Anolis sagrei: one gene and its partner. The protein of the gene in region 2 purifies or fractionates together with the protein of the main gene of each other region. This does not show direct contact. Links are inferred from orthologs where the notes say so. Each region holds a gene or a part of one and is shown on either strand. Other genes may lie near its edges.

Region 1 (11,224 bases), on a different chromosome or scaffold from region 2:
GGATGGGTGAAATAATTCAGGAGGGAAATAAAAATAGTTTCTTTCCCTGTCTGATCTAAGCCATTAACCAACCATCAATGTATACATTCAAGAGCCCTGCAAGATCCAACCCAAATCCTGCCTAGTTATAATTTTTCTTGCACAGTTCAAGAAGCCACTCTGATTGTTGTCTCTTGTTGTTTAGCACCTTCCAGATGGGAGGACGGGTGAAATAATTCACGAGGGAAAGAAAAATAGTTTCTTTCTCTGTCAGATCTAAGCTATCGTCCTACTATTAACATAACATGTGCAAAAACCCTCCAAGATCCAACCCAAATCTTGCATAATTTTAATTTTCACCACAAACAGACAGAACTGACACTCATGCTGAAACCTACCTGATTTGACCTTACCATTGACCAATGCCTTCCTTTCCTTCTCCTATTCTATTCCCATGCATTATGTGCCCTTCTCACCTTTCCCTATCTTCCCCAGCCCAGGCTCCTCATGCAAGGCATGCAGGAAAACAAAACAGATTGACTTCAAATTATCTGCAGTGAGGGAATAAAAAGACCAGCCTCTCTCTTTTATAGCACTTAAGCAAAAAAAAAATAATGAGGGGGGGGATTAATGTGGGCACTGTTGGCTCAAAAGGTTATATGCTTGGTCAGTTTGGAAGTGGCTTGGGGAGCATTTGCAACGACAATAACCCACTTTGTTGGTTGCAGAGACTGGACAACATCCCCATCCACTCCCCAGCTGCAAAACAAGCGCTCCCAAATCAATGCAAAGAGCTGATCACAAATGCATCTTCATTGGTGATGCAGCCGCTTCATAAAAGGTATGGAAGTGGGGGGGGGGGGGTTAGAGAGAAATATATACATACATAGCAAAGGGGGAAAAAGGAGAAAGGGGGATAACAATTCATAAAGCTATTATCCCGGGTCCCTCGACTTGCATTGGCCCATCCACGATAAATCCCGAGATGTTCTGACAAAACAACAAAGGAGAGGCAAAGAGGCAGGGACCGCTGTCACCCAACGCTCCTGGCAGATGGCTGCTAGTCCTGGGCTCCCTGCACTGAGGAGGGGGAAGGGGAAGGAAGGCTGGGGGTCTCTGCCTATCGAGGTATTTAAATTGGGAACAAATATATCCCATGCATATTCTATTTCTCCTGCACACGCAAGCATGCTGCATTTCCCCCTTTTCTCCAGGCGCAACGGCTTGCATGGAAACAAGAAGCCGAAGCTTGCAAAGGAGCTGTTCCTGTCGGCGTTTGCAGGGCTTGGCTTGGGCTCTGGGCTTGTTTCCTTCCCCTCCTTCACTCCATCTCACACACATACACAAACACCCCGAAAAGAAAACTACCCCGGGCTATTTATTATTATTATTTTTAATGTTGATGACCCATGCACCCAATGGACCACAGTTAAGCCAAGCCCAGAGAGAGAGAGGGCTTGCAAAGCAGAGCCAAAAAGAGGACCAAAAAGAGTGTTGGAAATCTGCTTCATTGCCATGGGAAGAAATAGAGAATGGGGAAGAGGGAGAAAGAGGGGATAAGAAGAAAACTAACCTGAGATTATTATTATTAAATGTTGATGACCCATGCACCCAATGGACCACAGTTAAGCCAAGCCCAGAGAGAGAGAGGGCTTGCAAAGCAGAGCCAAAAAGAGGACCAAAAGGAGTGTTGGAAATCTGCTTCATTGCCATAGGAAGAAATAGAGAATGGGGAAGAGGGAGAAAGGGGGGGATAATAAGAAAACTAACCTGAGATGATATGATTATTATTATTATTAAATGTTGATGACCCATGCACCCAATGGACCCTAATTAAGTCGGGGGGGGGGGCTTGCAAAGCAGAGCCAAAAAGAGGACCTTCCAAGTGTTGGACATTTGCTTCATTGCCATAGGAAGAAATAGAGAATGGGGAAGAGGGAGAAAGGGGAGGATAAGAAGAAAACTACCCCGGGCTATTCATTTATTATTATTATTATCATCATCATCATCATCATCATCATCATCATCATCATCATCATCATCATTATTATTCAATGTTGACCCATGCACCCAATGGACTCTAGATAAGTCGGGGGGGGGGGGGCTTGCAAAGCAGAGCCAAAAGAGGACCTTCCAAGTGTTGGACATCTGCTTCATTGCCAGGAAGAAATAGAGAAGAGGAAAAGGGAGAAAGGGGGGATAAGAAGAAAACTAATCTGGGCTATTTATTATTATTATTATTATTCAATGTTGATGACCTATGCAACTTCTTATTATTATTATTATTATTCAATGTTGGTGACCCATGCACCCAAGTCAAGCCCGGAGAGAGAGGGCTTACAAAGCAGAGCCAAAAAGAGGACCTTCAAGTGTTGGACATGTTTCATTGCAATGGGAACTACCATTGCAATTGCAACTACCCAGGACTATTATTATTTTTCACTGTTAATGACCCACATGCACCCAATGGACCCCAGTTAAGTCAAGCCCAGAGAGAGGGCTTGCAAAGCAGAGCCAAAAAGAGGACCTTCAAGTGTTGGACATCTGCTTCATTGACATAGGAAGAAATAGAGATGAGGAAGAGATAGAAAGGGGTTAGGGTTATCCATTCAAAAAACGTGGTTTTGAATGGGCAAGGAAGGAGGATCTGCTTAGAAAAGCTCTCGACACTCCCCTCGTTCCTTGGATGGACCTTATCCCTGGATCCCAACTCTTTCTCCCCAAACAGAGACACAACTGGCTTCTTGTGCAAAGACCACCCCGTTCTAGATATCTCTCTGCCCACTTCTACCTCCCTGGAGAAACCTTGCAACTATTTCTCTGTGTGCAGCCTGTCCTCACCACAACCATCAAATCCTTTGCAAAAGTGGCGCCTTGTTATTTGCAGGACACCATCACCCCTTTTGCAAAAAAGTAGCGCCTTATTTGCAGGACGTTTTCCTGCAAAGCTGTTTGCGCTCGGCCCATGCAAAGAGGGGCTCCCCTCCCTGCACCAGGTTCCTTTCTCTCTCTTCTCTCCCCCCACTTGCATTTCCCACCCTCCCCTCCCAGCTCACATGTATACCTGCCCTCCCTCCCTTCCCATCCCCTTCTTGAAAAGGAGAACTTGACAGACACATCCCCCCACTCTCCCTATAGTATTATGTTCAACACAAAAAGGTGTCCTAAGAGGAGAAGGCTGTGGGAAGCCTCTCCAACTACCTGTCCACTGACTCGCGCCTCTCTCATCCTCACCTAGAAGTCCTGGGTTTCCTCTATTTTGGAGCAGAAAAGGATCCCAGGGGAGGCTTTCCACCCTCTACCCCCCTCCTCTTACTTCTCCCCAGCTCCTCATGCCGGCCTCCTTTCCATGTGGTTCCCATTAAGCCCCTGACTTTCTCCCCCACCTCACTCCAGCCACCTTTCTTCTCCCTCTCCAAGTTTGGACTGGCTTTTACTCCCTTTCTTTCTCTGTCTCCAAGTCCTTCGAGTGGGTCTCCCACAGCACAACACTCCCCACACACACACACAACGTGTTATGGCCTACCCTTAGGTTTACCTCCCCCCCAAACTTTGCTTAGAAGAGACCTCTTTCCCTCTCTCCACCGTGCGCCCTGCTCTCCAAGCCAGGCGCGCTTTGCAAAGCCCCTCCAAATCCAGCATCTTTGTCCTTTCTTCCTCCAACTCTTCCCTTTCCTTGCACCCACCTGAGTCTCTCAAACACGCACACGCATAACCAGGTATACACCAAAGCAGATTTACTCCCTACACCGGTTTCAAATTCGCCCCAACTTTCCCTCTCCACTCTGCGCCCTCCTTTCCTGCATTCTAGGGTTCTCCTCCTTTCTTTCTTTCTTTCTTTCTTTTTTTCTTCCTCCAACTCCTCTTCCTTTCCTTGTATTGCACAAATACACCTACCTTAGGCTTCCAAACACACGCACACATCCCTAGGCTTAAATCGGAGCACGGTTGAACCCCCAAACCGTTTCCAAATTGGCTCCAAACTTGTCTAAACGTCCAGACGCGCCTCTGGATGTCTGCCTTCGCCTCTGTGCGCCTTCCCAATCCCCTCTCCAGCATCCTCTCCTTTTCTCCCTCCAACTCTGCAGTCCCAAGCCTACCTTAAGTCTCCCAGTTGGGCACCTTCCTTGCTTCCCTTCGTGGAGGCACAAGGAGGCTCCCCAAGTTCCCATCTCTCCTCCCCAACCGGGTTCCCCCCCCCTCCTTCCCTAGTTTCTCCAAAAGCGCACGCAATCCAGGCACTCTTCTTTCCCCCCTCGTCCCTCCTTTTTTGCAACTTACGCGTGATAATTTCCCGTTGCGATAAGTGCTGCGGGTTGCCCTGCTTGCGACGGGACATTGCCCTGGCATTTACACGGTCATCGCCCGGAGAGCTGGACTTGAGAGCCGGGTCGGAGGAGGAGGAGGAAGGGGGAGCAATCTTCTTCCTTTTCTCTTCTTCTATTTTCTTCTTCTTGGTGGAAGAAAGAAAACACAATGTAGATGGTGATGAGGTGAAGAGCGGCGATGGCGAGGAAGCCTTGGATGGAGAAAGAGGCGAAACTCTGGCCAGCCCCCCTTCTTTCTTTCTTTCTTTCTTTCTGCCTGCTTGGCGCGCTCAAGGCGAGGTCCTTCCTTCAATTAAAACATCATCATCATCATCACCGGCACCAAAGCCAAGAGAGGGGGAGAGGCTTGCTTGGGGTGATTTTCGCCAGGCAACGCAAACTGTCTTTGGGGGTTTTCCCCCCCTCCCTTTGCAACCGCTTCCAGATCTGTTTCTTGAACTTCAGGGGAAGAGAGAAGGATGGTTGTGTCCCTCCTCCTCCTCTTCCCCCCTTTCACCAAGCGCAGAGAAAGACTTTCTTTTTATTTTTCCAGAGAATGGAGAAGGGGAAAGAGATGGAAGGGGGGAAGGAGAAAAAAATGTAGGGAGAGAAGAAAAAAGAGCCACCAAAGTGCACTTCTTCCTTCCACCTGGGATGAGAAAAGAGAGACGCACGCTGGCACACCAAAAAGTAGGGAAAAATGGGGAGAAAAGGCAAAAGGGGGGAAAGGAAAGAAAACCACCCGAGCTTTGGCGGTGGGTGACTTCAGAGTCTCTCTTTGGAGAGGGCAGCCCAGACTGTGCCAGTTCAAGGTTGGGGTTTTGTTGTTGTAGTAGTAGGAGTCTAGAATCGGATGTATAGATCTCTCTCTCTCTCTCTCTCTTATCTATTGGCTAGGCTTTGGCGGCAGCCTTTGCCCCCCTGTCTCCCTCCCTTTGCTTGGCAGCAGAAGAGGGTCTCTCTCTCTGTCTCTGTCTCTCTCTCGGCAGGCAGCCCCCCGGTGCTTCTGGCTAGGACTGGGGAGAGAGAGAGCTCTATTGCAATGTGAAGATGGCGGAGTCCTGGTTCCCTGGGAGCGCTCCGTCTCGCTGTGGCTGGGTCTGCCTCCGTACAATGGGATAAAATTCAAGTTCAAGTGCGGACGTGACGTTTAATCTGCACTAGAGACAAAAAAAAATAAGACTAGGAGCACTGGGGGCGACTAGCGGTGGCTTTTTAACATTGTACCCTGCAAGAGAACAAGAAGAAGAAGAAGGGGGAGGAAGGAGAAGGGGAAAAAAGAGGGGGAAGAGAGAGAAAGAGAGAGAGAGAAGAAGAAGCAAAGAAGAGGTGTGTGTATGTTTGGAGAGAGGAGGGCCCTCCAAGCCCAAACCTGGCCTTGGGCTTTCTGCAAAAGGAGATGGATTTAGAAAAAGGAAAGGGAATTGGAAAGCGAGGTGAAGCTTCACTGGCTTGGGAAAGAGGCAGAGGGGAAAGGGAAGAAGAAAGAGGGGGAAAGAGAGAGAAAGAGAGGAGAAGCAAAGAAGAGGTGTGTGTGTGTTTGGAGAGAGGGGGAGAAAAGAGCCAGACCTGGCCTTGGACTTTCTGCAAAAGGAGATGGATTTAGAAAGTCGGGGAAAGAAAGAGGAAAGGGATCTGGAAAGAGAGGTGAAGCTTCTTTGGCTTGGGAAAGAGGCAGAGAAAAAGGGAAGTAGAGTGGTTTCCACTCTAGCAGCCTCTTCGGCCAAAGCAGAGGAAGGGAAGCTAGGGAAGGAGAAGGTCTTAGGTGGGAGGAAGCCTCTTAGGGTTGGAGGGAAAGGAGGGAGGGAGGCACCAAAAAGAGGTTGAGAGGTGAGCAGGACCCAAGTCCACCTTTCGACCAAAGCAGAAAAGGAGAAGGTCTTGAGGGGGGGGCTTTCTGGGGTTGGAGAGAGGGGAAAGGAAAGGAGGGAGGGAGGCACCCAAGAGACGTTGAGCAGGACCCAAGCCCACCTTTCGTCTTGGGGGGGGGGGCTTTCTGGGGTTGGAGAGAATGGAAAGGAAAGGAGGGAGGAAGGCACCCAAGAGAGGTTGAGAGGTGAGCAAGACCTGAGCCCACCTTTCCACCAAAGCAGAGAATGAGAAGCTAGGGAAGGAGAAGATCTTAAGTGGGAAGGAAGGCTCTCTAGGGTTGGAGAGAAAGGAAAGGAGGAGGGAAGGCACCAAAGGGAGGTTGAGAGGTGAGCTGGACCCAAGCCCACCTTTCGACCACAGCAGAGAAGGAGATCTTTGGGGGGAAGGAAGGCTCTAGGGTTGGAGAGAAGGGAAAGGAAAGGAGGGAAGAAGGCACCAAAGGGAGGTTGAGAGGTGACCAGGACACGAGCCCACCTTTTGGCAAAGCAGAGGAGGAGACGGTCTTAGGGGGGGAAGGAAGTCTCTCTAGGTTGGAGAGAAGGGAAAGGAAAGGAGGGAGGGAGATACCTAAGGGAGGTTGAGAGGTGAGCTGGACCCAAGCCCACCTTTCGACCACAGCAGAGAAGGAGGTCTTAGGGGGGAAGGAAGGGGGGAGGGAAAGGAAAGGAAAGGAGGAGGGAAGGCACCAAAGGGAGGTCGAGAGGTGAGCAGGACACGAGCCCACCTTTTGGCAAAGCAGAGGAGGAGACGGTCTTGGGGGGGGGGGGGAGTCTCTCTAGGGTTGGAGAGAAGGGAAAGGAAAGGAGGGAAGGAGATACCTAAGGGAGGTTGAGAGGTGAGCTGGACCCAAGCCCACCTTTCGACCACAGCAGAGAAGGAGGTCTTTGGGGGGAAGGAAGGCTCTCTAGGGTTGGAGAGAAGGGAAAGGAAAGGAGGGAAGAAGGCACCAAAGGTGAGCAGGACCCGAGCCCACCTCCCTCCTCCATCCCGCGCGCCCGCCCACCCTGCTGGAAAGGAGCCCAAATGGGACGGACCTTTCTCTCTCTTCTCTCTCTCTCTCTCTCTCTCTCTCTAAGCCTTCGGGGAGACTGGAGAGAAAGGGCTGGGGGTGGGAGGGAAGGAAGGAAAGAAGGAGGGGGTGAAGCCAAGCAAGCCGGCGCCGGAAGAAGAGCCCTAGCCAGGGCAAGGAAGAGTTGGAAGGAGGGCAGGATGGGGAAGGAGGAGGAGAAGTGGAGGAGAGAGGTCCAGAGCGGTTTTCTCTCCCCGGATCCACCTGCTCACCTTTCGCCCTCCCTCGGTGCCTTCTTCCCTCCTCTCCTTTCCCTTCCCTTCCTTCCAACCTCTCCCACGCGGCTGGGTCGTGGCTCCACCAGGAGATCCATAGGCTCCCACCCTCCCCCATTGCCCCCCCCCCCCCAACCAAAGCCCAGGCCAACTCCACGCTCCGGTTTGCTGGCTTGCTTGCTTGCTTTCCTCGAGCGCAAGCAATTCGAGGCGGCGAGCAGGATCCAAACACCTTCCCCGCGCATTTCCCACTGCTTTTTACAATAACACAAATATCTGCGTGGGGGAAGGAAGAGAGATCTCTCTCTCTCAATTCCACCACCCCCCCCCCCTTTCCCTCTCTCTCTTCTCTTCCAGTCTCTCCATCGGAATTGCGATTGCAGAGGGAGCCACAAAGACAGACACACGTGCACACACTCTCTCTCTCTCAAACACGCATGTGTTCAGGCATCTCGTGTGGATATAACAGCAAACTTGGGCCCGCCAGGTGTTTTGGGCTGCAACTCCCACCATTCTTAACAACCTCAGGCCCTTTCCTTTTCCCCCTCAGCTGCCTAATCAGCAGCTTCCCTTTGAAGTTGGAGAGCCTGCCCTTCTTTCTCCAAGGACTGTGGCCAAGGCGCTAGTCCTCAAGGATCCCCTCATAGAATGGTATTACTTCTACCACTTCATCACACTAGAGAGAGAGAAATCCACTTAAGTGAAGCTGTTAAAGGTTCCTCCCTAAACTACAAACTCCAGAATTCTGCAGGAGGCAGCAATCAGATTTAAAGTGGATTTTTTTCTCAGAGACTTTGTGGGCCAATCCAGTCCAACTCTCTGCCAAGAAGCAGGAAAATCGCCTCCAAAGCACCCCTGACAGATGGCCATCCAGCCTCTGCTTAAAAGCCTCCAAAGAAGGAGCCTTCAACACACTCCGGGGCAGAGAGTTCCACTGCTAAACAGTTCCCAAAATTAGGAAGTTGTTCCTCATGTTCAGCTGGAATCTCCTTTCCTGTAGTTTGAAGCCATCCAAGTCTCCAGGGCAGTGGAAAACAGGCCTGCTCTCTATGACTTCTCCCACACATCTTGATACATGGCCCTCATCATGTCTCCTCTCAGTTTTCTCTTCTGCAAGCTAAACATACCCAGCTCTTTAAGCTGCTCCTCATAGGGCTTGTTCACCTGACTGAAAGCAAATCTGTACTGTCCAGTTTGAGACCACTTTAGCTGCCATGGAAGCATGGGAAAGGTAGATTGACAACTTTTAAGGGTGCTGGTACCTCACCAAAATACAACTCCCATTATTCCAAAAGCCATGAGCCCTGACAGCGAAAGTGGTGTCAAGCTGCATTAATTCTATATCAACATCAGACATGGGCAAACTTGGGCCTTCCAGGTGTTTTGGACTTCAACTCCCACCATTCCTAACAGCCTCAGGCTCCTTCCTTTTCACGAAAAGGAAAGGACCTGAGGCTGTTAGGAATGATGGGAGTTGGGGTCCAGAACAACTGGAGGGAAGGCCCAAGGACCTACACTGTCCTTTTAAGTGACTGAGTAGTTAAAACAATAAGGTTTCAGGAAGACCAGGCTTCGAGTCCTCTCTCAGTCCCTTGGAAACTCACTAGTCACACTCTCTCAGCTTCAGAAGATGGCCATGGCAAACCCACTCTGAAGCAACTTTGCCACAGAATGAGTGCGTTTTAGAGTCCTCTTGTGTTGAGAAAGGTTTGAAGGCAACTCCATCCTCAAGTTCTTAATTTTCCTTAGCCTTCACTTGGAAAATCCCTTCCTCTTTACCTGAGTATCAAAAGTTTGGGCCTCCTTCCTCCTGTAAGGTGTGTGTAGAATCCAAAGGAGAATTGACCAAGAGTCTGGAGAACAAGCCCTATGAGGAGCAGCTTAAAGAGCTGGATATGTTTAGCCTTCAGAAGAGAAGGTTGAGAGGAGACATGATGATGACCACGTATGAGGGGAAGTCATAGGGAGGAGCGAGCAGGCTTATTTTCTGCTGCCCTGGAGACTAGCTTCAAACTTCAGGAAAGGAGATTCCACCTGAACACGAGGAAGACCTTCCTGACTGTGAGAGCTGTTCAGCAGTGGAACTCTCTGCCCTGGAGAGTAGTAGAGGCTCCTTTGGAGGCTTTTAAACAGAGACTGGGTGACCATCTGTCGGGGTGCTTTGAAGGTGATTTTCCTGCTTCTTGGCAGGGGGTTGGACTGGATGGGCCAAGAGGTCTCTTCCAACTCTAGGATTCCAACTCTAGAGAATGCTTCTGGAACATGGCCTGGAAAACTCATAGTAACCTCCATGCAGGAAGCAGCCAGGCTTTGAAGCTGCAAGGCTATTCAGTGGTGATCAAGATCGCCAATTGCAAACATTCACACTAGCCTGCAACAGACAAGGGTCCTTTGCCCCACCCTGGTGATTCCACAGATATATAAACCCCTTTTCCTAGTTCCAACAGACCTCACTACCTCTGAGGATGCTTGCCATAGATGCAGGCGAAACTTCAGGAGAGAATGCCTCTAGACCGTGGCCATATAGCCCGAAAAACCTACAACAACCCAGACAAGGGTTCTCTCTCCCACCCTGGACATTCCACAGAGATGTGAACCCCATTTTCTTCATTTCCAACAGACCTCACAACTTTTAGGGTTGCAGTGCATCAAGAAAGGCTTGAAGGCAACTCCATCCTCAAGATCTTAATTTGCCTTTTTTCAGCCCATAGCCTTTGCCTGGAAAATCCCTTCTTCACCTGAGTACCAAAAGTTTGGGCCTCCCTTCTCCTGTAAGGTGTGTGGGGACTCCAAGGGAGAACTGGTGCAGAAAGGGCTCCCTCTTGTTTTTCTCAGGAGGGTCCCAAAGTTGCCCAAGATAGGCCTCCTTCCCATTCCAAGTCCCTTCACCCTCCCTTTCAGAAGGACCCAAAAGGGTGATTCCTTTGCAGTGATCAGTGCAAAGGTGCGGCTCAGTTTCCATCAAGCCTGAGGGAGGTTTGGGACAAGCTCAGACAGGTGTAGTGACCTCCTTCATTCCCACATGGGGGGGGGGGGGACTTTCCGGGCTGAAAGGAGGGCTCTGGATTTCTGCAGGAGGAATTGCCAACTTGGCTGAGGCTGGGGAATTCGGTTTTTTTCAAGGCACTGGCACTTACTCCTGAGCAGAACAGCGCAGGACTTGCTCCACAAGATGGTTGTATACACACACACACACACAGGGTTGCTGTGAGTTTTCCGGGCTATATAGCCCTGTTCCAGAAGCATTCTCTCCTGACATTTCCCCTGCATCTCTGGCAGGCATCCCCAGAGGTTGTGAGGTCTGTTGGAAACTAGGCAAGTGGGGTTGATATATCTGTGGAATAATGTCCATGGTGGGAAAAAGAACTCTTGTCTGCTTGAGGCAAGTGTGAATGTTGCAATTGGCTACCTTGATTACCACTGAATAGCCTTGCAGCTTCAACGCCTGGCTGCTCCCTGCCTGGGGGTTACTGTGAGTTTTATAGGCTGCATGGCTATGTTCCAGGAGCATTCTCTCCTGACGTTTCCCCTGCATCTATGGCAGGCATCCCCAGAGGTTGTGAGGTCTGTTGGAAACTAGGCAAGTGGGGTTGATATATATGTGGAATAATGTCCAGGGTGGGAAAAAGAACTCTTGTCTGTTGGAGGAAAGTGTGAATGTTTACAATTGGCTACCTTGATTACCATTGAATAGCCTTGCAACTTCAAAGCCTGGCTGCTTCCTGCCTGGAGGAATCCTTTGTTGGGATTTCCCCAACAGACAAAGTTCTTTCTCCCACCCT
Region 2 (11,158 bases):
TGATATAGTCTGGCACAGGAGGTGGTCCATCAGAGGTGGGGGAGTGGGATGATACCATGAGTTACTTGGGTGGCATCAACATTACTGACACCATTGCTATTAGATATTGTTTGTGATTACTGTGCCCTTGAGAGCTCATACTGAATAGAAATAAAAGATAGACATTCTTGAAACTGACATAGGTAATGCAATTTTTTCTACAATCTTCCACTTTCATGGATTTCATTGTCATGGATTTGATTCATGTGCTGCCAGCTTATGGCTCCTGAAGCCCCATCCTCAGGAGGTGAGTGGAGGAGCTGTTCAGGAGTTGAGTGTGCCCCAAGTTTCCGTTCTGCCCTGTAACTTCCTTTGCCCAGGTAAAACAGGCACTTGCGGCACAAAGGAAGAAGAGTGGCCGACCCCATGTACTACTTAACTTTTTCCATGGATCTGGCTCCGCTTCCTGTGTTCCATGAATATCTGTTTTTCCCAGGCAAAGAAAGATATAAGCACACAGGAAGAAGAGGAATTGGACTCACCAGATAAGTTGCAGGTGCACGTCCTCTTCCTGTTTGCTTGTTTTTATGTTCCCCATATTTACCCTTGCCTAGGCAAAACAAACATTTGCAGCATGTGAGAAAAGTAAAAGGATCTGATGTGTGTACAATAAGTGAAATGGTGCACAGGATTAGCTCCTCCTCCTCACACTGGGACCACAGCAGGTAATGCCCCATCTTGCTGCTGGAGATATTAATAGTTTTTCTATTTTTGTGGGAAGGCCTGGTCTGTAATTCCATGAAAGTGGAGAGACAACTGTACTTCGGCCTGCAAAATATCTACAGGGATAAATACCCCTAATATATAACTCAAGTACAAGAATGATTATCTAATATTTCAAGTCTAAATAGTTTTGTAGTAGCAGTTCTTCACCTAAGATGGACTGTTTGCTAGTCAAACAATTTTAATATTAGCTCTTCTTTACTATCTCCAGTATACCCGTCATCATCCCATATTCTCAGAAGATATGTTCCTAGGATTCACATGGATACACAGAACAGCAAACTACTGAAACGAAGTACCTCTGGCCCAAGAATATCATAGAATCACACTAGAAAATGTCTAGAGAAGATGGATTTTGTCGGATGGGGATAACCAAGGGGGCATAATGTTTTAAATCAACTACTGAAAAATGAAAACTTTCCATGTTTAATATGATGTTCAATTCCATTATTGATCCAACCAGAGTTGCAACTGTTTTATAATCAGTCAGCAAAAGCCTTTTCAGGCATTGTTTACAATTTATTAGTTCATCATTTCAGATGGGATGCTTGTTTTAGGAAAGCAATGTCCTGGCATTTTGCTTTTCTGACAAAACATGTAGCATGCATTTCTGCTCCCCCTGGTACCCTTTCTTTGCCTGAGGGGAAATTGACATTTACGGAACACAGGAAGAGGAAGAGAAGCCAGATCCATGTGGTAAGTGAAGTGGCACATGGAAGCACGCTCCTCTTATTCCTGCATGTCGCAAGTGTTTGTTTCATCCCAGGCAAAGGAAGGGAAGTACCAGGTGAAATAAACATGCAGGATGCCCACCTCCCAAACAACTCCCTCCTGCTCACTTCCTGAGGATGAGGCTACTGTGTAAATGTTCAGATGAGAGCCCCAACTTTGAGCGGTATGGGTGACATTTCAATCTTGTGAATAATCAAAAACATGGGTGGATGCAGGGGCTGCGAAAGCGTGGTGCCCGGAGATGGAACAACTAACTGGACTCCCGCTAGTCCTGCCGGTCTGGTGGAGAATCGATCGGGCTGAAGTTCCGGTGACGAGGGCGCCACGGCCCAATGAGGAAGCAATCGGCCGAAGCGAGGACGCGGCAGCAGCGACACGGTCCGCAGGCAGGGCCCCGTCTCGCCACAGATCGTAATGGCGGTAGATGGTAAATTCAGCCCTTATGCCAGCATGCACATACCTCGCTCAACAGTTAGATGACATCTTTAGGATTGAGGTGAGATCTTTAGGGGTTGAGGGAGCCAGCCGCTCTGTAATGGCGGCGGCGCTCTACCTCAGTCTACCTCGCCTTCCCCGCCTCCTCTTACCCTTCTTCTGAGCCGATCCAGATCGCCAGGGTCTCTTTCGAGTCCCCAGGTTATTCCGGATCTCTTGCTTGATCTGGGGAGGTCAGCGGGGGATCGCTTTGATTTTCAGCGGATTAAAGATCTCAGTCGGCGCAGCTTAAGATCTTGTTGCTCGCCTGACTGGAACCGGAACCAGACCGGAACAGGAACCCTCATTTTGCCCGCGGCATCGTTTGGACACCTTGGGGAAAAACCAAGACAAGTCCCACATTTTGGGCCCATCTGGATGGGCCCGTTGAGGGTCGGAACCAGCCCCCTATTGCTTGTTTCTAGGCTTAAGGCAGGAGTCCCCAAACTAAGGCCCAGGAGCTGGATACAGCCCTCCAAGGTCATTTACCCAGCCCTCACTCAGGGTTAACCTAAGTCTGAAACAACTTGAAAGCACACAATAACAACAACAACAACAACAACCCTATCTCATCAGCCAAAAGCAGGCCCACACTTTCCATTGAAATATTAATAAGTTTATATTTCTTAAAATTGTTCATCGTTTTAATTATTGTATTGTTTTGAAGTGTTTTAGCACTACAAATAAGATATGTGCAGTGTGCATAGGAATTCATTAATTTTTTTTCAAATTATAATCTGGTCCTCCAACAGTTTGAAGGACTGTGACCTGGCCATATGTTTAAAATGTTTGAGGACCTCTGGCTTAAGGCATGGGAGAAGAATCCCAGGGTGCATCTCCATTCAGAATTAATGGAGTTTCATCCCTTTTTAACTGCCATGGCTCAGTGCTATGGAATCATGGAAGTTGTGGTTAGTATAAGGTATTTTGCCTTCTCTGCCAAAGAGGGTTGATGCCCATTATTCCATAGCACTGAAATATAGTAGTTAAAGTGGTGTCAAGTTGCATTAATTCTATAGTGTAGATGCAGACTCTGTGTGTTAGCAGTGACTTAAAGCTGTACTTATACAGTATATGTGCATCAATGCATATACCCCTACTTTTTCTTTCTCTGGATCTTTCAGCTGCAGGTTGCTTTGGAGCTGTTGTGTAGACTATCCAAAGTATTCACCTGCTGGACTGCTTCTTCTCTCTTTGCAAAAAGCATGGTATTACTGTCTCTTTTTAGCTCTCTTTAGGCTGGGGGTCCTCAAATGTTTTAAACAGAGGGCCAAGTCACAATCCCTCAAATTGTTGGAGTGCCAGATTATAATTAGAAAAAAAACCATTAATGAATGCATATGCACACTGCACATATCTTATTTGTAGTGCAAATAACACTTATAAACAATGCAATAATTAAATTGAAGAACAATTTTAACAAATATAAACTTATTCGTATTTCAATGGGAAGTGATAAGTGCTTTTGGCTGATAAGATAGGATTGTTCTTGTTCTTGTGTGCTTTCAAGTCATTTCAGACTTAGGTTGACCCTGAGCAAGGGCCGGGTAAATGACCTTGGAGGGCTGCTTCCAGCCCTCAGGCCTTAGTTTGGAGGGCCCTGCTTTAGGTAATTGTTATAGATCTCTTTTAAGTCCTGATCTCTCTTCTCTTCTTTCCCCTCATGCTGTTGCTTTTTTTTCTCCCCTTCCCAACAACTCATTAAAAATCAGCATTTTCCCGCCCACCTCTCCCCTCTTCCTGCAACTCCTACCTACACTCATTTTCTTCCTTGTTCCCTCTTTCTCCTGCCCCATCAGCTCCTGGCAAATGGTTTATCTTCTACCGAGCTATCTTCTACCGAGCTTCTCCTCCCCAATCCTCTTTCTTTTTTTCCTCCCAATTTTATGCTCTTGCCCCTTGCTGAAAGAAAACGTTAAATCATGACTGGTTATGTTAGATTCTTATCATTTTATAGTTTTATATCACACTGCACCCGATCAAACTTGCTTCTGAATAGACATGTATAGATAAGATTGCCCTATTAATTTCTATTGTACTGCTTGTCTATTACCATCACTGCTGTTGTCATTATTATCATAATTATCATTGTTAGAATCTGGTGATTATAAATAGCATGATCGTGATGGCAATGGTGATAGTAATATGATTTGGGGGAGAGGGAGAAAACCCTGTGAAACATGGCTAGTGAAGGACCCAGGTTAATGAGAGCAATCCATTAAAAAAGGAACGTTTCTTTGGTGAACTGCAACGATAAAAAATAAGTTATTAGAAAAGTATTAAAAACAGAGCTAGGATAACTTATTCTTTTTTCTGTTCAACGTCAAACTGGGAAAACTTTGGTTAGAATGCAACTCCCACATATTGCAAAAACAAGACTTGCAAAGGTTCCAAAAATAGGTTCCAAAATTTCTGTTCAATTGAATACATTGGAAATGTAATTGCCAACAAGTGAAGCATTGTCACATGTGTTAGATTCGGTTAAATTTTACCATTGTTTGTGCTACCTGGTAAATCCAGGTCCCCAGATCAGAATAGAAATGAATGGACTGATTCCAGAGGCAGTTACATACAACCTCGCAAACCTGCTGTAGCAATATGTTGAAATCTACACACTCTAGCCAGGCCAAGACCGCTGTATTGTCATATTACCCTCGGTATCACCAACGCTGCTCCCAGCCAATCACAGAGCTCCACCCAAGCTCCTGTCCATTGTGGGCAACCCATTGTGACATCTCCAACACCCATTGTGAACCCTGAAAGGCCTCTGACCCCCTGCTCCCATTTGCTATCACACTACACAGCGAGTTGTATTTGCGGTGGAGATACATCAGTACCATCTTGACATTACTCTGGTACAAAGTTTTCAGTGGTGTCATATCGCCCAGATCAGATGGTGTAGGATACTTAAACAAATGCTAAAATCTCTCCATCTGACATAATTTGAGCATATAAATGCAATCTAAAATTCGATAAAAGTTAAAACTTTTATCGAAAAATAAAATCCAAAAACTGAAACAATCTCAGAAGAGAAACAACCTTTTAAAAAAAAACAACACCCTTTTTATGTGCACATGTATGAATGTTTTGCAATTATAATCAGCGCAACCTTGTTCAGCCATGAGAGTGAGTCTTTTTTTTGTGATCTTACAAACTCTACTGGGAATAGTATGCAAAGGGTCACCTTTGAAACCAACTGGGGCAGTTCAAGACAACATCAAATCACGTGCTTTAGTCAGGGGCAAAACAACCCAGGACCTGAGAAGATGTCCAAATACAAACTTGTTGGTCCCGGGATTTCTGCCTCTGTCATCCACACTTGCTGCTTTGTCGCAGGATTTTGCAGTACCCAAGATAGCGGCCATCACGGGACATCCACCAGAAATTAAGATGCAAGCATGCAAATCATTGTATAAGTTCAGTTCCTGGGTTATATAAACTGCAGGGCCATCTGTGCAGACAGGGCTTTGTTGGGTTATATATGTCTGTTCCTGATTGCATTGACCACGGAGCCATGTGTTTCATGAAGTTTCTGGCACACAACAAAGTTTTCATGTTCCACTGAACTATCATCTTCTTTTTAGGAACTGACCAATCAGGAACAAACATCTAAAATCCAGGAACAAACCCAGATTAAAAAATCATGTGTTTTCAATTGCAGGGACATACAGACATTTGAATATGCGGATTTTCAGCTCAGAACTGGGATTTTCCCACACCTAAAAATCTTGCGTCCGCGATTACAGGGAATAGCGTCTGGTCACCCTCCTGTTTGCTGTAGAAGCTCCTGGGATAAAGGTACTGTTTGGACAGGCCCTGCGAGAAAGAAATTGGTAGCATAAGCTTTCATAAACTTATATTTAGTTCTTGCATCTGGTGAAGTAGCATTAATACAAGATATGCAAGCTTATGCTACCAACTGCTGTCTCTCAGTCTCAAACGTGCTGCAAAATCCCTTTTACATACTGATATTCCAGTCATAGTCTGGAATATAAATATGCATGTCTGAATTGTATTGGAATGAAATCGTAACCAATCTCAACATTGTGGCCATAACTGTATAGGAGTTGTTAATCTATAGAGTTACATTTGTTACATAGGCCTGCCAAGATACATGAAAATACTGTTTTCCCTCCCCTATATCTGCTTTTAAAATGGTAACATGTTACTTGTATTGATTCCTATGTCCTTTGACCACCGTATATACTTGTGTATACGTTGACGGCATGTATAAATTGAGGGGAGATTTTATTGATGTGATGCGTAACCTGTACACAGAACAAGAGACTACTGTTAGGACAGAATACAGAGAAACAGAATGGTTTCCAATTGGCAAGGGGGTCAGGCAAGACTGCATTTTATCACACAATAAAGATATGCTAACAATATAATATGCAAATCAGTATTAGATTTGGAGGAAGAAGGCATGAAGATTGGAAGAAGAAACATCAGAAATGCAAGGATGCATCTACATTGGCCAGAAATGGTGATGCTGATCCGGGGAACCCTATGGAGTATCCAGAAGCCAAACTGCATGCTTCCAAGTCAGTTTGGGAACTGGATGGCAACCACAGTACTTAGCTCCAGGCTGGCCTGGTGGTTGGATGGTGGCCACAAAGCCAGGTGACACCAGAACTGGTAATATGCTGCTTGACTATATCCCTTGCTTTGCCCTATTGTTCTGGCCTTTTTAGTGCCCATGGGGCACAAAACTGGCACTGGTCACTGCTCAGCACCTGAAATGACAACAGGCATGAACTCTCCTAGAAGCCAAGATGACTAAACAGAGACCGATGTCCTTTGACCACATCATGAGAAGATGTGACTGAAAATACATTAATGCTTGGAAAGGCAGAAGGAAAAGAGGAAGGCCGCATTCTAGATACAGAGACTCTATCAAGTGACCTGAGAAAGGTGGCTGACGATTGATAGGGCAACTTGGAGGTCTCTCATTCATGGGGTCGCCATAAGGCAAATCAACTTGGAGGAAGCAAACCACAACAGCAAAACGTTTGGTGTTTTAATGAGAACCCATCATGGTCTGGAATGGTGTGTCTATGGGCCCTTCCACACAGCCCTATATCCCAGAATATCAAGGTAGGAAATCCCACAATATCCGAGTGTGGACTCAGATAGCCAGTTCAAAGCAGATATTGTGAGATTTTCTGCCTTTATATTCTGGAATATAGGGCTATGTGGAAGGGCCTTTAGTTTTTAGGCCTGTGTCTGGAGTTATTCAGAATTTAGAAAATTGCATTGGATAGACCTCATCAGCTCTACTTTCTTGGATATTGATATATATATTTATATATCAATATCCTTTTAATATATGTGTGTTATGGCAACAATTTTATGCTGATATTGTTTGTTAATCTTATGGTTATGTTGTTTACTCTGTATGTATTGATGATGTTACTTGGAAACAGCTCTGAGCCCCCCCCCCCCCCCTGGGAGACAGAGCGGTATATAAACCTCTATCTCTATAATAATATATAAACCTCAATAATAATAATAATAATAATAATAATAATAATAATAATAACTTTATATAAAGTTATTATTATTATTATTATTATTATTATTAGTAGTAGTAGTAGTAGTAGTAGTATTGGTATTGGATATGGTGATGCTTTTCTAATGACAAACAACTGGTAGATGGCATATGTTCTATATTTCAAAAAGCAGAACCAAGAGGGGAAAACTGATGCCACTTTTGGAACCAGCAGGGTTAAATATACCCAGAAACAGGTCTAACCTTTGAGGCCAGTGATACATATCCAGTTTTATTTTCATCAACTCGGTTTAATGAACTTTTGTTTTAAATTTGGATCAAATTTTCAGGTGCTTAGCAAAACAAAAACAGTGGGCCCAGTATTCATTGGATGTTTATGTGATGGCTATCCCAGAAATCCAGGCTAGTATGAAGCAGGCTTTTTCTTTCCCTGAGCAATTGCTCAAAGGCTCAGCCAAAATGCTCCGTATCAGTTCAAATTGCGGACGCAGATGAGTCAGGAAAGACGGCCAACAGGGTTCAACAAGAATATCAAAGTTTATTTATAGCAGCTGCTAGTGGCTTTTCGACACAACAAATGGCGTCTCTGGAAAAGCCCCCGAGCATCAAAGGTAGTGTTCTTTTATACATCAAAAAGGGGTTCGGCTTTAAGAGCCGCCCCGAAGATTAAATCATTGGTTAAAAAAGCTGTCAATATTATAATTAATATTAAGCAATTAGCTCATATATTTTTAAGTTTCGCTTCGCAATAAGCAAGCCCCTTCTTGGAAACATGCAAAATGCTGACATGCAAAATACAGCTGAAAACATTTGCTGATTTTGGGCAAGTTCTAACTTTAGCCTTGGCTACTTCCTTTTTGCAAAGTTGGCAAGTCTCATGACCGATTTTTCACCCTTTCACAAAAAAAAAAAACTCATCTTTAGTCTGTCTTTGTCTCCCATATATGGTCAAGTTCATCCGTTCTCTTTCTACATGCAAACCTCGACAGCTTTAGTAAAACTACAGCTGTGCTTTTTACCTTTTCTATAGCTGTACCTTTCTGCCTTATTCCCTCATGTTTTTGTTTTGCGAAGCGGTTTACAAAAGCGAGAGCAAATCAGCAAGGGTTAGATATTACGGATCTCTCCAATTATGCCCTTTAATGAGAGCTATCTTTTCTACCGAAGCTGCCTGATGCATATATCTCTGGCAAACTTGAAGCAAAATTGGAAAACAACACATTAGCAACAAAAAGACAAAACCGCATAGCATAATCACAAGTATTATTTCTCTAAGCCATGATGCTGAAGGAAGCAGAGACGTCAACCATGAGAAAGGTTGCCATCCATCTTCCTTTACGTTATGATTTATTAACTCTTGCAATTTTTCCAAATCATCTTCAATTGTTTGGTTCAGATTATGAAATTGGACCACGCACCGGCCCTTTATTATAGAACAGAATCCTCCTTTTGTTGCCAACAAATAATCTAGGGCTAGCTTGTGTTGCATTGCCATTTGGCTTAGTTCTTCAATTTCTGATTGTAATTGTCTAACTATTTTTCCTGTGGCATTTATGCTTTTCTCTAATCTACATGTGAGTCCCATGATACTCTTTCTGTTTTCTTGGGCCATTATTCCAGGATAGGACCCGAGGGTTAGGAGCCCTGTTATTAATCCTCCTCCTATCCTTGAGCCTCCAGTTTCGGACAGTTGTGAGTCTATAATCACTTCGTCTGAGCACTCAGGTCCTAGGGGTGCTATGGCTTTTAAAGATCTCTGAAGCCTCCTAGGGTGTTTAAGGACTCGTACAGGGAATGTCAGGTATCCTACCCCAACACACTGGTTTCTTCCTGGATGAAAATTGGTTGCCCATTTATCAAAGAAAAACCACATATTGGGATCTCTAATATGCCATCCTGAACAAATACTGCCTCCATTTCTCAGGGATGTGTAATTTGACTCAAACAGCGGGTACTCAGGGTACAGTTCCTTCCAGTCCGTGTCGGCCAGATTTTGTTTGTTAACATATGTAGAGTTATAGGTTCCATATAAATAAAACTTGTCCTGACAGTGAGTGTAATTTGTCAACCTTGTTAGGAAGGCTTTTCTGTGCTCCCAGCCTTTCCATTTTTGATTCCATGTACCCTTGTTTGCACAACAAAAACACATTTCTCTCGTGGTGGCAGTATATCTTATTCGTCTAAATTTAATGTGTTTTAATCCATCGGGGACCTGAGAAAATATGGTGGGATTTTGAATAGTTCCTTGTAACCCCCCGAGCACCACCTGGGGGTCAGCTATTAGGGTAGGGAGGAAGGAGAAGTCACCTACTTTCTCTGGATGTTCATATAGGAGTGCCACATCTTTTCCATGCTGATCAAACATGAATCTAGCATGCTCTTTTAGCCAATTTCCCTGTATCATAGTGATCATGTTTATAAGCATCATATATCCAAAAACCGTTCGAACTCCTATTGGTTTTCTAGGGCATCTTTCCCTCCTCCCCATTATAATCTCTATCCACCACTTCCAAGATAGGGCTTTCGTTGGGCCACACTGCGTCATACTTGACCTGCGACGATCTGTTGTTCCCGAAGAGGTCAGCTTCATGGCCTTGTTGACCCCTCAGGGAGTTGCCGGACGATCCTGAGTCTCAGGTCACTCTGATCTGCCTTTTTTATCTCCCACATGGGGGGTGCCAGCTTGGCACGGGTGTAATGTATCCAAGGTTTAACTTCCTTCACTTTAATGGCAGTAGGGGTTGATATCAGCACAGTATAGGGCCCTCTCCACTTGGGTCCTAGTGGGTCAATCTTCCACTCTTTCACAAGCACCTCGTCACCTGGCGAGAAACAATGCAAAGGTGTGGTAGGATAGGGTGGATTTAACTCTGAAGTATATTGTGCAATTTGTTTTATCTGTCCAGCCAGGGCTTGCACTTGTTGAATGGTTTGTTTATCTCCAATCACATGTTGGTCTCCCCCTTTGTCCAGTATCGACCTCAAATTTAATGGTGGTCTGCCATATAGTCTCTCATAGGGGGTCAGACCTGTTCTTTTGTGAGGGGTACACCTTACTCTCAATAGTACCATGGGCAGTATTACAGTCCAACCCAGCCCTGTCTCTTGACAGATTTTTGACATAGCAGTCTTTAGAGTCCGATTCATTCTCTCAACTTTAGCTGAGGACTGGGGCCTATAAGCGCAATGCAATTTCCATTTTGTGCCCAATATTTGACACAGTCCTTGAATCACCTTGTGTACATAAGCTGGACCGTTGTCAGACCCTATTTCTGATGGTATTCCAAATCTGGGGATTATGTCCTTCAAAAGTGCTCTTGAAACTTCTACTGCCTTTTCAGTTCGGGTTGGGTACGCCTCTACCCACCCGGTGTAGGTGTCCACAAAAACAAGCAAATATTTGTAGCCCTTTTGCGGGGGCATCTCAGTAAATTGCCTCGAATGGGACGTTGCCTATGTGTTGAATTCCTGGTGGCTTTAAGGGTCCTTCTCGAGGATTATTTTTGGCGCATGTCCAGCATCTGTGTGCTGCTGCTGCTGTCAGGCTATGGAGTCCATCAATGTACATTTGCCGTTCTAGCAGCTTAGCTAAGGCTGTCTTACCCAGGTGTGTGTTGGAGTGCATATGTCGGACTATGTGCCACGCCATATCCTTAGGGACATAAACGCGGTTATCTG

The links. The genes of interacting proteins can lie anywhere in the genome.
Region 1: the proteins of CHD4 (region 2) and BCL11B purify together in Homo sapiens (affinity purification with mass spectrometry; 4 studies listed by BioGRID and IntAct, with this or other methods). This does not show direct contact. The link is inferred for Anolis sagrei from reciprocal best matches to the Homo sapiens genes CHD4 and BCL11B.

What each region holds. Positions count from the first base shown.
Region 1 is NC_090021.1:321,125,333-321,136,556, forward strand, and holds the start of BCL11B (B-cell lymphoma/leukemia 11B), read right to left. Parts: upstream 5,764-11,224; 5' UTR 4,319-5,763; coding exon 4,261-4,318; intron 4,163-4,260; exon of another isoform or gene 4,080-4,162; intron 1-4,079. UniProt on the Homo sapiens protein: Key regulator of both differentiation and survival of T-lymphocytes during thymocyte development in mammals.
Region 2 is NC_090022.1:197,398,865-197,410,022, reverse strand, and holds the start of CHD4 (chromodomain-helicase-DNA-binding protein 4), read left to right. Parts: upstream 1-5,649; 5' UTR 5,650-5,766; intron 5,767-11,158. UniProt on the Homo sapiens protein: ATP-dependent chromatin-remodeling factor that binds and distorts nucleosomal DNA. Acts as a component of the histone deacetylase NuRD complex which participates in the remodeling of chromatin.